Linked DNA regions of Ovis aries. The protein of the gene in region 1 purifies or fractionates together with the protein of each later gene. This does not show direct contact. Links are inferred from orthologs where the notes say so. Each region holds a gene or a part of one and is shown in the gene's direction. Other genes may lie near its edges.

Evidence for each region. The genes of interacting proteins can lie anywhere in the genome.
Region 2: the proteins of OBSL1 (region 1) and CAMKK2 purify together in Homo sapiens (affinity purification with mass spectrometry; 4 studies listed by BioGRID and IntAct, with this or other methods). This does not show direct contact. The link is inferred for Ovis aries from reciprocal best matches to the Homo sapiens genes OBSL1 and CAMKK2.

What each region holds. Positions count from the first base shown.
Region 1 is NC_056055.1:221,476,938-221,480,437, reverse strand, and holds part of OBSL1 (obscurin-like protein 1), read left to right. Parts: intron 1-276; coding exon 277-549; intron 550-1,321; coding exon 1,322-1,597; intron 1,598-1,677; coding exon 1,678-1,965; intron 1,966-2,157; coding exon 2,158-2,433; intron 2,434-3,037; coding exon 3,038-3,307; intron 3,308-3,450; coding exon 3,451-3,500. UniProt on the Homo sapiens protein: Core component of the 3M complex, a complex required to regulate microtubule dynamics and genome integrity. It is unclear how the 3M complex regulates microtubules, it could act by controlling the level of a microtubule stabilizer.
Region 2 is NC_056070.1:53,942,889-53,946,388, forward strand, and holds part of CAMKK2 (calcium/calmodulin-dependent protein kinase kinase 2), read left to right. Parts: intron 1-115; coding exon 116-169; intron 170-2,957; coding exon 2,958-3,031; intron 3,032-3,117; coding exon 3,118-3,205; intron 3,206-3,500. UniProt on the Homo sapiens protein: Calcium/calmodulin-dependent protein kinase belonging to a proposed calcium-triggered signaling cascade involved in a number of cellular processes. Isoform 1, isoform 2 and isoform 3 phosphorylate CAMK1 and CAMK4. Isoform 3 phosphorylates CAMK1D.

The sequences.
Region 1 (3,500 bases):
ACACTGCAGAGACGTTAATGTGATTGATTATGGGGGGTTCCACAGTAGGGGCTGAGGAGGAGTATATGCTATATGATAAATGTACCATTTCTAGAATTGGAAGCATTTCTGGATTCTGTAACACCTGTGGCCCCAGGGATTTCAGAGAACAGATTTTGGACCTATTACTATCCTTATCACTCTTAACAATTTGGGGAACCAGGATTTCATGCTGCCGGACAGCTCCAGAGAGGCTGACAGTGAGTCTGACAGCCTGTGGTTGTCCCTACTCTGCAGAACCCCCAGTGCGCATCCTATACCCCCGGGACGAGGTGACCTTGGTGGCCGTGAGCTTGGAGTGTGTGGTGCTGATGTGCGAGCTGTCTCGGGAGGATGCCCCGGTGCGCTGGTACAAGGATGGGCTGGAGGTGGAGGAAAGCGAGGCCCTGGTGCTGGAGAGCGACGGGCCCCGCCGTCGCCTGGTGCTGCCCGCCGCCCAGCCCCAGGACGGGGGCGAGTTCGTATGCGACGCTGGAGACGACTCAGCCTTCTTCACTGTCACCGTCACAGGTGGGCAGTCTCCGAGACCCCCCCAGGGAGGAAGAGAGGCAGGAGGCTGAGGGACAGACACCCACCCCTCCCACTTCCTGCACCGTCAGGGCCCCCACGTGCCACACACAACTTTCCCCCTGTCCAGCCTTCCCTCCTCTCCCAGCCTCCTCATTCTCAGCCATCAGAGAGAGCCCTGGGTTGCCCAAACCAGGTTGGGACAGTGGCCAGAGGCCTGGTGAAGAGAGCCCAGCAATCGGGAGTGCTCATTCATTTGTGTATTCAACAAACACTGATCTGCTCAGCATGTTCTGATGCTGAGGGATTCGGTAATGAATGAAGGAGAGAAAACCTGTCTTTACCTTCTTGTGAGAGCAGACAGACAGCAAATAAGGGAAACAGGTGGTTTTTCAGGTGGTGATCGGTTCTTCAGAGGCAAAGCAGGGAAAAGGGACAGGAAATGGAGGGGTAGGGAGGGCTGTGCATTGGGGTTAGATAGATCTGTGAGTGTGGGTCTAGCTCTTTCCGTCTGTGCAACCCTGGGCAAGTCAGTTCCCTATAAAGAGGCTTCAGGTCCTCATCTATAAAGTGAAGGCAGCAATAGGGAGTGTCAGGAGTAGCTGAGAAAAGAACTGTAGTGTCCTCAGCATGACACCTGGCACACAGTAAGTGCCCACGATTGTAGGTGGTACCATTTCCCAAGAGCTGCTCTGCAAAGGGAGAGGACTGAGAAGCCAGTGGTCAGTCAGGTAGAAGCCGAGCCCACCCACTTCTCTCTCTGTTCGCCCACCAGCTCCTCCAGAGAGGATTGTGCACCCAGCAGCCCGCTCCCTGGACCTGCAGTTCAGGGCTCCGGGGCGCGTGGAGCTGCGTTGCGAGGTGGCCCCGGCTGGGTCCCAGGTGCGCTGGTACAAGGATGGGCTGGAGGTGGAAGCATCAGAAGCCCTGCAGCTGGGTGCTGAGGGGCCCACCCGCACCCTGACCCTGCCCCATGCCCAGCCCGAGGATGCCGGGGAGTATGTGTGTGAGACTCGCGATGAAGCCGTCACCTTCAACGTCAGCCTGGCTGGTGGGTGATCCTGGCCAGCCCGGGTCTGGGAGGCGGGAGCAGGGGGCATCACTGAGCTGACACACCCACTCTCTGTCCAGAGCCCCCTGTCCAGTTCCTTGCCCCAGAGGCAGCCCCTGGCCCGCTCTGCGTGGCTCCCGGGGAGCCGGTGGTGCTGAGCTGTGAACTGTCCAGGGCTGGTGCCCTGGTCTTCTGGAGCCATAATGGGAAGCCGGTGCAGACAGGCGAGGGCCTGGAGCTCCGAGCCGAAGGACCCCGCCGCGTCCTCTGCATCCGGGCTGCAGACCTGGCTCACGCGGGCCTCTACACCTGCCAGTGTGGGGCAGCACCGGGGGCCCCCAGCCTCAGCTTCACCGTCCAAGTGGCTGGTGAGTATAGCCCCGGGCAGGAAACCTGAGAGTCTCGCCCCTAAACCCTTGAGTCTTCCCCCTCTCTAGTGCACCCAGCCCCCAGCCCCTGCCCCACGGCTCTCAGTCCCTCTCCCCATCTGGCCTCCCACCACCCTCCTCCCCAGCCCTTGACCCATTCCCTCCCAATGACCCCCAGCCCTGACCCCACAGAGCCCCCCGTGCGGGTGGTGGCCCCCGAGGCAGCCCAGACGAGGGTTCGCAGCACCCCAGGCGGGGACCTAGAGCTGGCGGTGCGCCTCTCCGGGCCAGGGGGCCCTGTGCGCTGGTACAAAGACGGGGAGCGCCTGGCCAGCCAGGGGCGGGTGCAGCTGGAACAGGACGGGGCAAGGCAGGTGCTGCGGGTGCGGGGGGCACGGAGCAGGGACGCTGGGGAGTACCTGTGCGACACGCCCCAGGACAGCCGCATCTTCCTCGTCAGCGTGGAAGGTAACAGTGTCGTCCTCACTCCCCTGGGGCCCCGGCCCCCCCCCACCAAGGGCCTCATGCCCCCCCCCACCATTCACCCCCACCCACCTCTCTGCCCACCAATGCATGCACAGCTATCACATGGATGAGGGCTCAGGGCTCCCCTTTCCAGGAATCCTCAAAAAGGAGGGGCAGAGGGCTCTGGAGTCTACCCTCCAGGTTCCAGTCTCGAATCTCCTTCCCAGTAGTTGTGTGACACACTGGCAAGTTGCTTAAACTGTCTGAGCCCCGGGTCCCAAGGAGGAGGATAGCGTTTGTCCTATAGGGCTGTTGTGACAGTTAAATGAGATTGACAGGGTCTGTCCTAAATGATCTATCTTTATTAGGGAGTCAGAGAGGTGGGTGCCCAGCCAGCATGGAGATGAGGTGGTGAGGAGTGACAGGCAGGGAGTTGACATCTTGTCCTTCAAAACAGCTCATGACTGACACACAGCTGGTCCTCGGGAAGATTCTGTTTAATAACTGGGGGATGAAGGCCTGTTTCTGGGGATGAGGAGGGGCTGAGGAGGGCAACGGTGGAAAGACCCAGCCCCCCTCACTGTCTGATCCTGCCCTCCGCCCCCAGAACCCCCACTGGTGAAGCTGGTCTCGGAGCTGACGCCTCTCACTGTCCACGAGGGGGATGATGCCACGTTCCGATGTGAAGTTTCCCCACCAGACGCCGACATCACTTGGCTGCGCAATGGGGTCGTTATCACTCCAGGGCCCCAGCTAGAGACGACCCAGAATGGGTCAAGCCGCACGTTGACCGTGCGAAGCTGCCGGCTTGAGGATGCAGGGACCGTGACTGCCCGAGCCGGGGGCACGTCCACGAGTGCCCGGCTGCACGTTCGAGGTTCGGTCCTGATGGAGACGAAACAAGTCCTGTTCCTGAACCTGTTCTCCCAGCCCTGGCCCTGGCAGGAGACCAGTCCCTGAGAAGAGGGAGCTGGGGTTCGGCCCACCAGGCTCCATGGTCCGCTCTCTCTTCCTGCCCAGAAACGGAGCTGCTGTTCTTGCGGCGGCTGCAGGATGTGCGAGCGGAGGAA
Region 2 (3,500 bases), on another chromosome or scaffold:
AAAAAGAGCTGCTTCCCCAAAGGAAAGCTGGAGGATTGGATCCTGGATAGGTGAAAGAAGGTTATGCCCTTTACTGCCCCTTGCCCCCTCACACTGAGCTCTCTTTTTCTGGCAGGCGCTGGATGTTTGGGCCATGGGTGTGACACTGTACTGCTTTGTGTTTGGCCAGGTAAGGTGGGGTGTCCTGTGTCCTGGCTGTTGTGGGTGGCTCCCTTGGACTAATAGTTACCCTTGCAGGGAGATAGAACTTACTCATTTAAAAGTTATTTCATTTTATTTCCACAGTTAGATCTGCATATGGAAAAGTATGCCTTCCCAAATATACATAGCTGTACATAACAGTCATATCTGTGAAGACAACCTGCTAAAACAGGGTTTTGGTAGAGGCTCTAGAAATTGTAAATACAGTTGATGAATTTAGGTCAAGGACAGCAAATGTGCACCTCTTTCCACTTCTAAACAGGAGATAGGCATCACTAATCAATAACTGCAATCTTTCTTTCTGAGCCTGGTACTGCTTTGATGTTCTTCTCAACAGTGTTCCTGGAAGCTGTTGTTGGAAGAATAGAATTGGAATGGAATTTAAAACATTTGGCATTATTGATTTAGGGAGTGCTGTTTGTCTTCATTTTGTTGCTCTTTTATTATTTTTATATTACTCGTATTTAGGGGCTTCTATTTTTAATTCTAAAGTTCAGACTGATTATGTGAGCAGTAAAGATGAGAATTATTCCTTCTCCTGAGCTTATGCTCCTGTTGAGAAAAGCTTAAGAAACTGATCCCGTGAAGAAGTAAAGTTTATAATCTCCTCCCCACAACCCAACGTTTGATTAGAAAATTTTCAATCCTGTAGTCAAGTTGTAAGAATTATACCTTCTTACATATGCTTCAGAGTGCAGTCATTAGCCAGAGCTCACTATCTGTGGCTTTCATCTTTTGGGCTAAAATGTACACATCAGGGAATCTACAGATGTTAAAAGTGTACTCTGATGAGTTGTCACATGGATGCACCTGTGCAACCCTGACATCTCAAGTTATTGTTTCTCATGGCATCATTTTCCTTGGACAGGAGTAGACAAGGTCACTTTCTGTGACCTTTTGCAGCCTTTTGAGCACCCCGCTTAAAGGTTTCTTTTTCCAAAACAATCCCTGAGCTCCTCCTGGGTCAGGCCCTTCCTCCTGTGAGAAGATCGCCTTGTCACCCAGGAGGTGGTGTGTGAACAGGCTTCAGGGTAGAGTCTAGGCTTAAATCCCAGTTTCATGCTTCCTAGGACATAGCACCTCTCGGAGCTTCTGTTTTCTCTCTCCTGTAAAATGAGAATAATATTTACTGTTTTTAAAAGTATTTATTTATTTACTCATTTTTGGCTGCGCGGGGTCTTCGTTGCTGTGCGCAGGTTTTCTCTAGTTGCGGTGAGTGGGAGCTTCTCTCCAGCTGTGTCACGTGGGCTCCGTAGTTGCAGTACGCCTTCTCTAGAGTGCAGGCTCAGTAGTTGGGACTCACAGGTTTAGTTCCCCTGTGGCATGTGGGATCTTCTTGGACCAGGTATGGAACCTGGGTCTGCTGCATTAGCAGGCAGATTCTTAACCACTGGACCACCACGGAAGTCCAGTATTTACTATTTTTTATGGCTTCTGAGAGGATCAGCAGAAATAATTCAAGCATTCATTAATTCAACAGATATTTATTGAGCCCCTACTTTGTGCCAGGAATGTTCTTGGGCACTGGGTGTCAGCAGTGAGCAAGACAGACAAAAATCCATGCCCTCTTGGAGCTGACATTCCCGTGCAGGAATTAAACAGTGAATAAATCCATATGGTTTTATGTTTTGGCCATACCATGTGGCATGTGGGATCTTAGTTCCCCAATCAGGGATTGAACCTTTGTCCCTAGCAGTGGGAACACAGAATCCTAACCACTGACCACCAGGGAAATCTCCCCAATGTATATGGAATAATGTCAGGAGGGCACATGCAATGGTGAGAAATCATATGGAGGTGGAGTGGGTGTCCATTTTAGACAGGAGCTCTGGAAGACCTCCCTGAGAGGTTGAGCTTTGATCAGACACCTAAATGATGGAAGAAAACAAGCCATGCACATACTGGTGTGAAGAACATTCCAGGCAGAAAGTGAAAGTGAAGTCGCTCAGTCGTGTCCGACTCTTTGCGACCCCATGTACTGTAGCCACCAGGCTCCTCAGTCTATGGGATTCTCCAGGCAATTGCCATTTCCTTTTCCAGGGGATCTTCCCCACCCAGGGATCGAGCCCAGGTCTCCTGCAATGCAGGCAGATGCTTTAACCTCTGAGCCACCAGGGAAGCCCATTCTAGGCAGAGGTTAACAGCCAAATGAGATGTTGGTCCTGAGAAACCTCAGTACAATGCCTGGCCCAGGCTGAGCCCTCACCAATCACAGCTACTGCTGCTTTGTCTTTTGTGTTGTTCTTTGTATTATTAATGTTCACAGGGCAGGTGGGTGAAGTGAGTGTTTGCTTTCGGTCTTTGCTTTATGGTCTTCCCTGATGACTCATGGTAAAGAATCTGCCTGCAATGGGAGAGCCCCAGGTGCAGTTCCTAGGTCAGGAAGATCCTCTGAAGAAGGGAATGGCTACCCACTCCAGTATTCTTGCCTGGAGAATTCCATGGACACAGGAGCCTGGCGGGTTATGGTCCATGGGGTCGCAAAGAGTCAGACACGACTGAGCGACTAACATTTTATGTAGGTAAATTAACGCACAGCTATAGAGGAAAGCCAGTGTAGTTAGGAAGGCTCTAACCCTTCTGGAAAGATACTCCTGGTCCTTTCAGATCTCCGGGGAATGGGAACTGCTTCCTCCCTGGGCTGGGCTGCCTGGCTGTTTCTTTCTCTGCTGTGACCCATGTGGAGTGCCGTCCACCCTTGAAGGACAGCTGTGCCAGCCCTTGATGGCTGCTCTGTCCCTGACCTCTCTTTGCAGTGCCCGTTCATGGACGAGCGGATCATGTGTTTACACAGTAAGATCAAGAGTCAGGCCCTGGAATTTCCAGATCAGTGAGTATCCTTCGTGTACCGCAAGTTGCTACCTTCTCCGAGCCCTTGGTGACGTCTCCCACCCTTGATGTATCTCCTCCCGCCAGGCCTGACATAGCCAAGGATTTGAAGGACCTGATCACGCGCATGTTGGACAAGAACCCCGAGTCGAGGATTGTGGTGCCAGAGATCAAGGTATCTGCTGCCCCTTGGGGTATGTGCCAGGGGCTCAGCCTATCTCCTCGGCTTGGGATTTTTGGCTCAACCCTGCCTCAGTCAGGCCCCACATTCCTCTGTTTACAGCACCACACCCTCTTCTGCACCACCGCCCTCCCATGCCCTGTGGCCTCTGGGATGCTGGAAGCTGGTGGGGGAGGATTTGGGACTTGTGTTAACTGTGATTATGGAAGTGGGATCTGCTACCAGCCAGGCAACTAGCACTCGCTCCACTTGGCGTGAACTGATGGCCTCCACCTCCCCAGACCAGACC